Linked DNA regions of Caenorhabditis elegans. The protein of the gene in region 1 interacts with the protein of each later gene in a pairwise test. Each region holds a gene or a part of one and is shown in the gene's direction. Other genes may lie near its edges.

What was found.
Region 2: the proteins of memb-1 (region 1) and vps-52 interact in a two-hybrid assay, tested with the Caenorhabditis elegans proteins (one study listed by BioGRID).

Annotation. Positions count from the first base shown.
Region 1 is NC_003284.9:9,439,312-9,443,421, reverse strand, and holds memb-1 (Golgi SNAP receptor complex member 2 homolog memb-1), read left to right. Parts: upstream 1-1,850; 5' UTR 1,851-1,857; coding exon 1,858-1,985; intron 1,986-2,032; coding exon 2,033-2,102; intron 2,103-2,154; coding exon 2,155-2,282; intron 2,283-2,567; coding exon 2,568-2,649; intron 2,650-2,746; coding exon 2,747-2,851; intron 2,852-2,895; coding exon 2,896-3,024; 3' UTR 3,025-3,343; downstream 3,344-4,110. UniProt on the Caenorhabditis elegans protein: Involved in transport of proteins from the cis/medial-Golgi to the trans-Golgi network.
Region 2 is NC_003284.9:7,563,428-7,568,911, forward strand, and holds vps-52 (Vacuolar protein sorting-associated protein 52 homolog), read left to right. Parts: upstream 1-1,895; 5' UTR 1,896-1,903; coding exon 1,904-2,060; intron 2,061-2,102; coding exon 2,103-2,221; intron 2,222-2,283; coding exon 2,284-2,379; intron 2,380-2,421; coding exon 2,422-2,652; intron 2,653-2,706; coding exon 2,707-2,940; intron 2,941-2,990; coding exon 2,991-3,197; intron 3,198-3,247; coding exon 3,248-3,373; intron 3,374-3,482; coding exon 3,483-3,764; intron 3,765-3,812; coding exon 3,813-4,203; intron 4,204-4,250; coding exon 4,251-4,369; intron 4,370-4,421; coding exon 4,422-4,568; 3' UTR 4,569-4,718; downstream 4,719-5,484. Other genes in the region: sto-1 (Stomatin-1), read left to right, coding at 11-163, 215-289, 336-599, 673-791, 840-1,026; Apyrase apy-1, read right to left, coding at 4,841-4,954, 5,036-5,484. UniProt on the Caenorhabditis elegans protein: Acts as a component of the GARP complex that is involved in retrograde transport from early and late endosomes to the trans-Golgi network (TGN). The GARP complex facilitates tethering as well as SNARE complex assembly at the Golgi.

The DNA of each region.
Region 1 (4,110 bases):
TTGAAAAATGCAAAATATTATAGGTACGTAGTGTTTAAAAAAATTAACTTCTGTCTGCTGCGTCTTGAACAACTTTTTCGAAATTGAAAATATTTCTGCATATAAAAAGTATTTTATTTAACCATTGAAATGTCACTAAAAAAATTCCGATATAAAAATTTTGATACTCAACTTTTAAAATTAATTGTGCATTATTTTTGAAATTTAATTGACTAAATCAAGTTATCATCGAATGAAAAATAGTTAGTATGTTCAAAATTGATTGCCTAAAAATAATATGGAGCAGTTGACACACAAATTAAACAAAACTTACAAACTTCTGACAGTTTCCATTAATAGAAACTTTCGGGTCCAATAATATTTCGTTTGAAACAAATAGCAATAAAATGTGTTAAACACTTGCCGACATTACATACATCTTCAGAAATATTCTCTTTGCATCATTAGAAATTCAAGTGGTGAGAAATTGGAATTGGATGGGCCCACCACAAAGCAAATTGGTTGCCACAAAAAGAGCAAATCATCAAAAAAGAGAAATACATCAAAAAAGACAACAAAAACGAAAATAACTGCCATTTCAAAAGCCGTATCAGTGGCTGAGAAGAGCAGACAGCACACAGCTGTTTGTGGGCTCACCGGCTCAATGAAAATCTCATTTCAAATGATCACAGAGGAAAATGCTCAATTTGTTTGTTTTTATGGTTTTATTTAAAGAAAAAACAAGAAATCCATAATATATTTTTAATGAAAGTGTAGAACGTTTGAACAAAAAATCCTTCCAAAATTGTTTTTTTTAACTGAACTCTAAAAAATACACGAAACAAAAAGTTTATTTGTTGTCCGTGTTCTACTTTTTTTCATTGTTATCTACCAAAACAGTGGAAAACAAAAACAAAACTGACACTTTCCCTAAAGACGAAGACGGAGAAAAAAAAAAGAATTGTGAGTTTTCTCTTCTTTTTTGACCATTAAAATAAATGAGAATTTGAAATTGAGTTTGAAAGGGAAAAGGACGGAGTGACTTGACTTTTTGGAAGAAACGCCAAAAAAATATGCAAGAATGCAAGTACAAAATAGGTGGCACATAATAGGATTATTCATAGCATTCGCACTGGAAACTAGAAGTCATAACATCAGAGAAAAGTCGGAGGTTTCAAAGTGAAACTAATCGCGTTTTCTTATAATATTTGCAAAAGTGCTTCTCTTATTGCAAACTTTTCCTATTTACTGTTTGGAGAAAAGCAATGCTAAGCAAATAAGTTAAGTTTGTACTCAAAATAGATATGTTGTTCTAATACTAGCGCACCTATTTGAGGCACAAGAAGTATTTCAAAATATTGAATAAGTAAATACAAGAAAAAAGCGATAATTTCTCAGTATCGATAATAAACGCACATTCAAAGTTTTGGACACTAGACTACATATGATTTCGGTATTTTTTTTTTCTCGGTCAGATAAAAAACAACAGTCTTTCTTAGTTCTTAAGCAGGATTTTCATTGAACCTATGCGTGGAATAATTTGGAAGAAAAAAAACTGTTTGAACCCCTGTTTCAGCTTACAGAATGTCAAGCAAAGTTTGCAATTTACCATTCTTTTTCGTTTTTTTTTTCTTTCCTTCCACTTTTGACACTATTTCTCCATCTATACACATGCCTCCTTCCTTTCGTCGTTACTCCCCTTTCTTTCATTGCCGTTCTATGTTGACGTCACACTGTGCACTTGTGCGTCGTTGTGTTTGCGTACGACGACTCACCCCTCGATTTACGCGGGGACACATCTGTACTTTACTTATTCTTGGATTCAGATATTTTTTTTTTGAATTTCACATTTGTAATTGAAAGTTTTTCAGTTTATCCATGGAGGCTCTTTACCAAAGCACCAATTTTCTTCTACAGAAGGTTCAACATGACCTTGGACGACTAGAAGGCACTCAAAACGAACAAGATGCGCAAGTTGTTGTACAGTGCATATATGGTGATGTCATGTGAGCTGACTTAAAATATTTTTTTGAATATTAAAATAATTTTTTAGAACCCTGAAGGAAAACTGCCAGACATTAGATAATTACGTTTCTCGAGAACCTCCAGCGAGGCGGCAAGCGGTGAGAAAATTTGGAAGAAATAAGACAAAAAATCAATAATTCAAAAATTCAGGCCCGAATGAGAGTTGATCAGTTACGCGCCGACGTCCACAGAGTTGATATGGCCGTTTCGGCAGTACACACGAGAATGACACAAAGATGGAGAGCTGCTACTGAACGAGATGAGCTTCTTAGGACGCGGTAAGTATTTTTTTTCTCAAATTATCAAACGAAACAAAGACGATTAAATTGCTGCAAGAAAATATGGACGGTATAAAAACGCTGGTGTATACAAGTTTGTTAAAATTATTTGCAAATTTATACATTTGATCAAAGGATTTTGCTGTAACGAAGTTTTGTCAATCCTGCGAAAGAAAACAAAATAGTTCTCTCACTTCTGATTTGTGTAACAGATTTAGTAGATTGAATGTAAATTAAAGTTGATCAAAAATTTGAAACATTGAATGTATGTAACTAGAAATTCAGATATCGGCCAAACGATACAGCGCTTTCAATTGGAGACCACGAGCTTCTTCTCAATGATCGCCTGCAATCTTCCCACACTCATGTGAGTTTTCAGATAACGTTTATGGTACTTACCACTTAAAATTAAATTTTTGTCTTCCGTTAATTGAAAAAAATGAATTTAAAAGCAATAATTGCAGCTTGACGATCTGATAAGTCAAGGATCTGCTGTACTCGAAAACTTGAAATCCCAGCATTTAAATTTACGCGGCGTTGGGAGAAAAATGCATGAAATTGGCCAAGCTGTAAGTTACATTTCTAATTTCAACTTTTAAAAACATATTTTGAGTTGGGTCTCTCTAACTCGACACTTCAAGTCATCGATCGGCGTGTTCGTGAGGATTGGATCCTATTTGTGATTGGATGCATTGTCTGCTGCATCTTCATGTACGCATTTTACCGATTCTGGCGTGGATGAGGAAGAATCAGTTGAATGCGAAACTATCAACCATCTCGTCATACATACCAAAAATGCCACGTATTTTGTGATTTCAATAGCATATCTATTGCTGGCCAGCGACAACTTTTTTTTGTCATTATTTATTTTGTTTCATTTCCTGCATATCTTTATTTATTTATTTGTTCATATACAAATTTCCTGCCATTTTCTGTTGACTCTATATTCCTTTCAGTTTGGAATAATATATGATGATTTTTGTATGGGAAATGGGAAGTTTTGTTAATTTTTCAAAAAGCCTTTTGAATGTAAAAATCTGTCTCATTAAACTTGTCATAGCAAAACAACAAGACAAAATTCAGAGCAGAAAAGTAGATTTTAACAGAAAAAAGGGGTTTTTTCAAAGTTTGAAAACTAAATTCCAAAAGCTTCTATAACCGCAAAGAAAAAGTGCATTTTCAGTCAAACATTTTGAAGTACATTTTGAAATTGATTTGAACTGACAATTCATATGCAAAGTTAGTGGATTTTCAAAACTTTAAAAATTAATATTCCGCTTTAAATTAACTGTTTTGAAAATACCCATAGCGATTTTGTTGCAAATTTTGTGTTCATTCAGATTTTTAAACACATCCTACTGGAATATTGTTGGTACATTCTAAAAGAGCTTAAAATTTACTACAAAGTTTCTGAAAGACATTTCAAAAAAAGTTACTTTGAAGAGATTTATGAATTTTCAAAGTTTGGAAAATCCATCTGTTTTTGTCTATAAATGGTAGTTTTCATTGAATAATGAAATACGCACTAAAAGATAGGGCTGAAAATGTACTATTTCTGTAACTACGTGAAGCTTCTTGTACCTACTGAAATATTGTTAGTAAATTCTAAAAGAGCTTAAAATTTACTACAAAGTTTCTGAAAGACATTTCAAAAAAAGTTACTTTGAACAGATTTATGAATTTTTAAAGTTACGAAAATTCATCTATTTTTGACTATAAATGGTAGTTTTCATTAAATAATAAAATACGCACTAAATGGTAGGGCTAAAAATGTACTATTTCTGTAACTACGTGAAGCTTCTTTTACCTACTGGAATATTGATAGTAA
Region 2 (5,484 bases), 1.9 Mb from region 1:
TTTTCTTCAGATTGTTCAGGAATACCAACGTGCTGTAGTTTTCCGTTTGGGACGTCTTGTTCCTGACGTCAAAGGTCCCGGAATCTTCTTCATCATACCTTGTATTGATACTTTCTTGAATATCGATCTGCGTGTGGCATCGTACAATGTCCCTTCACAAGAGGTATGTTGCGCAACACACCTGCTCACTGTGATATAATCTTTCTCTCTTCAGATTCTGTCTCGCGATTCGGTTACCGTTTCTGTTGACGCAGTTGTCTACTTCAAGGTGTTTGACCCAATCACTTCGGTAAACTAAACAGCTGGTACGGTTCAATCTAATTTGGAATTTTTAGGTCGTCGGAGTTGGCAATGCGACCGACTCTACCAAACTTTTGGCTCAAACCACCCTCCGTACAATTCTCGGTACCCATACCCTTTCAGAAATTCTATCCGACCGTGAGAAAATCTCCGCCGACATGAAAATCTCGCTCGATGAAGCTACAGAGCCATGGGGAATCAAGGTTGAACGTGTCGAGCTTCGCGATGTCCGTCTTCCATCTCAAATGCAACGTGCTATGGCTGCTGAAGCCGAGGCTACTCGTGATGCTGGAGCAAAGGTGAGCCGACATGATGAGCATAGCAAAATGCGGGGGACCAATAATTATTAATTTCGATTGCAATTAATTTCAGATTATCGCTGCCGAAGGAGAATTAAGAGCATCTGCCGCTCTTGCTGAAGCCGCCACCATCATTTCAAAAAGCGAGGGAGCCATGCAGCTTCGATATCTGCACACACTCAATGCTATCAGGTAATGGAAGCGCACTATCAACTTTTAACTAACAAAATAAAATTTCAGTTCCGAGAAAACCAGCACAATCATCTTCCCGTTCCCAATGGAGATTCTCGGAGGAATCAGCAAGGTTGGTTCAGGAGGCACATCTCAGAACTTTCCAGTTCAAGAAATGATGAATGCCGCCCTTCAATCCATTCAACGTCAGGATACAGTTCCAGCCACCGCATCTTCCTCAGGAAGCCGACTCTGATTCCAAGCAACGCAAAATGAGCTACAGTTTCGTCAAAAAACAAAACAAGGATCAACTCGAAGCATATTGATAATCTCTTTCCTGTTTGAAGTATTTTTTTTTAACTATTAAACTGTATTATTCAACTGTATAACACTTAATATTTATACTCGATTTCCACCTCATTCACTTCCAAATTGCACATATCGGTTGTCAAGGCATATCTTTGAGAGGTTGTCTGAAAGACTTCCGATTTTGCTCCAAATTTTTTCAGTCATTTTTCTCATCATAATAATAATATATATATGATTCTCCACGTTCCATTGTATTTTTCAAGTGTATTTTTCCAAGAAAATGAAGGAAGCCATATAGTTTAGAAATTTGTCTAATTTTTTGTAAAACGGGAAATATTTGAATCGAAGGATTCAAAAAGTTTTGAGAAATTTTTTATTTCGAGCCTAATGCGCTGAAAACTAGGTTTTCACCAATTATTATGAAAGTCTTTGATCAGAAAAATTCATATTTTCACTTATTTTTTCACTAAACAAAAATCCAAATTTCAATATTGTTGGGGTTTGAAGATTTAATAGTGTTTTAGATTTCTCGTAGCGAATTGTCAAAAATATACCAAATAGATAAATTAAATTCTCTATAAAAATTCAAAAATCCACACATTCTCATTTTTCCAATTGTTCTGCATAACCTCCTTGGCGAGCATTTTCCTCGCCTTCCTCGCACACAAGCACACCATTATTCTAAACACCGCGCGGGGTGTAAAAAGCGGAGCATCGTTTAACGACGTGTTACCAATTGTTTTTTCTTTGGTTTATCGCTATTTTTTATTTATTAACGTTAGTTATTCATCAAAATTTTTATTGAAACAATTTCAGCACAAATAATGCCTCGAACACGTGTCAACTTGCAAAAATCCGAGGCAAATGACCGTAGTTTCACAATATCGTCGCTAGAATTTTGTTTATCGCAATTGCGAAAAGCAGATCCGAATTTGGTGAAAAAAGCAATTGCTTCTGGTGACGGACTAACCGAGTCGAAAAGTATGTCTCTAAATGTCAACATTTGAAAAATCAATAATTCAGACGACGTCAGCACGCGGCTATCGGAGGCACATCGTTATTCTGTTCAACAGTGTCTTGATAACTCTGAGCAGTTGGCTCAACTCCATAATCAACTTGTGCATTGTGATAATGTTTTTGAAGTAAGTATATTGTAAAAATTGCCAATATATAAATCAGTCGACTATTTAATTAAACTTTTTAGCGCTTGCAAGCAACATTGTACAGTTTTCAAGACAATCTAGGATCAATTGGGCAGGATATGAAAAATTTGCAGCTACAGTCGCATCATATTCATCAAGTAAATTAATTTTCCAATTTCAACGTACTATAATCTTCTCAGGAACTGGAAAACCGGCAAAAAGTTAGAGTCGAGCTGAGCCAATTTGTAGACGATATTGCTGTTTCTCAAACGATGATGAAAACTATCAACGACACTGATGCAAATGACAGGGGTTTTTTGGAAGCGCTCCACGAGTTACACCACAAAATAACCTTAATTTTGCAAAGGGGAAATGGAGATGCGGTAGCGGTAAACGACACTATGCCGATTTTGGAAGGACTAAAGCTTAAGGTTGGGTGTTTTTTTTTTTACAAAAGTTTACATTTCAAAAATGTTTTTTTTCAGGCGGTTGTAAAAGTGAGGGAATGGTTGCTTCAGAAAATGTTCCAATTCCGTAAACCTCTGTCCAACTACCAAGTTTTTCAACACCAGCTTCTCAAATGCCGATTTTTCTACGAATTCCTGTTGCACCATGACTTGATCTCTGCCAAGGAACTTCAAGACGAGTACATTGACACCATCAGCAAGATGTTCTTCACGTATTTCAAAGCATACGCCACACGCCTGTTCAAACTTGCGGTAGGTTGAGACACATTTTTCAAGTATATTCACCAGAGTAATTATTTAAGATGAAAGACGTGGCCACCAAAGAAGACGCTTTGGGAAGTATTGATTTTGCAAAACCCGCTGGATTAGGCGCAATTTTCTCGTCGAAACAACACGTTGTTCGGAATAAGGCAACCGTTTTTTCGATTGGGCAACGACATCAAATTCTCTCTGACGACTTTTTAGGAGCCTTGATTGTTCCCCACGCAGCTACGCAGAACCATCAATCGGTATACCTTACAATAGAACTGGTAGGGACCAAATTAAATTATATTTTCAGTATCAATTTGAAGCACTATTTCGTTCTATTCAACTGGCATTTGTCGATCACTACAGCCATGAGTACCTCTTTATTACCGACTTTTTCCTTGTCAGCAATGATGAAGCCATTGAACTGCATAACAAGGTATGTTACGAGGACCTGGAAAGACCTAATATCTATTACGTAGTAATGTTACATTTACAATAGTTGTTTGCCTTTTCACTACCGGAAAAAAGCTTATAATTGCTTTCAGGCTATGGCTCGAGCAATGTCAGTTGTGCTCAAAAGCTGCGAGGAGCAAATCGCCCTTAGTTGGGACGCCATCAGTCTTCATCTGTGCATTTGTCTATGTGACAAGTTTACCGAAGTGCTCGCCGAGAGAGAGGTACCAGAAGTTAGCGATTATTGGAATACTGTCACAAGCTTCCTTTGGACCCGCCTCAATTTGGTCATGTCTCAACACTACGAAAGTGTCAAATCTGTTGATTTGAAGAAGTTGATGCATAGCGGTTCACTTGATGCAAGACCGCATTTCGTAAGTTTTTGATTGTTTTTTATAATCAAAAAAATTCAGATGTTACAGATAGTCCGACGGTACGCCGAACTGACAAGTGCACATTTGATGATAGCAAAAGCAAGTGGAAAGGAAATGGGTGCAAAGATGGAAGCTGTCTTGGAGAACAGTGAAGACTCTATTGAACAACTATTGACTCGAATGTCAGCTATGCAGCAAACTCAGAAAAATAAGCACGTCTTTCTGATTAACAATTACGATCTTATTCTTTCGATTATCGATAACGAGGAAAGCAAGCATACAAAGATTTATGCAATTGTCCATGAGCTTGAACAAAAAAGTATTGATGATTTTGTTGAAGAGATGCTAGAGCCACATATTGGGTACATGATTAAATTTGTCAACGAGTGTGAATCTCTGATTGTTCAAGGTCATACACAACTCTTAGTTCGATATAATGGCAAGTTGTCATATATAATTTTCTATTCTCTAATATTTTAATTTCAGACAAAGTTGGAACGGTGGTAGCAAACTTCAATGCAAAGTGGAGACCTGCAGTGGACAGTATTAATTCAGAATGCATACAACTTTTCACTAACTTCAGCCTGGGAACCACCATTTTACAGGTTAAAATTTATTTCCTAGAGCCGAATTTCAGTTTTAACTAGATGATTTCAGACAATCTTCACAAAGTACGTTCAGTATATCAATAGATTCACAAAGATTCTGTCCCATGACGTATTTGCTAAAAATCCCGTGTGTTCCCAGTTAGTCAACGTTCATCAAGTGATGCTCGAAATCAAACGGTTCAAACCAGCATATTAAGAAAAATATTGCCAATGTTATTTTATTTTCCCGTGTAGACTTTGTAAATTAAATAATTTATTGATTCCCACTTACTTGAGTATTTTTTTATATATATTTTTACCCACTGGCAGCTTTATGCATGCAAAAAATGTTGAATAAAATGTTTATATATTTATTTTATTTAAATAACCATTACATAGTATTTGACAAAAATCACATAATATCGAGAACACAGATTTGGACCTGACTGGAAGGTGGGAATTGAGACAAAAATACATTAATTGAAGTGATTAGGCAAATGCAATTCCTTCGTATTTGTATGGACCATGAAGAAGATATTCGTCAAGAATAACATTACCATGAATGTCGAAAACACTTGCATAACTTGCTACTGGTTTTCCATCCTGGAATACAATTTTATAAACCGAGCATTGAGATTAACGGATTTTGTTTTTAAAATTGTGTAGATAAAACCTGTTACTTACCTTTTCCTCCGACTTGATGGCAACGATGAGCTGGTGATGAGTGTTTGGCACAAATTGGAAAGCAGCAAACCCTCTGGATTTGTTATTCTCCGATCCTACTCGCACAACCTCAAAATCAGTCAACTCTTCATTTCCAATCACAAGAACGTTTGTTCCGCGGTTCTCGTCCTCCGCCTCAGAATACTTCTCATTTGACATTCTACGTGGAAGGAAGAACCATTTTCTGTGAATTGCAGACCATTGAACAGCTTCGTGAATCATGTATCCGGGATATTCGATCCCAGCAGCTCTACGAACGCGGATATATACATCCTTCCAGTTTTCGTGATGAACGGCTCCGTGAGCAGAGACATGCTTCACCCACATTGGGTGATCGTTCACATAAACTCCGTCAGTGGTCGTCCATTCTTTTCCCAATCCTCCAACAATCAATTCGGTATCCTTAACAG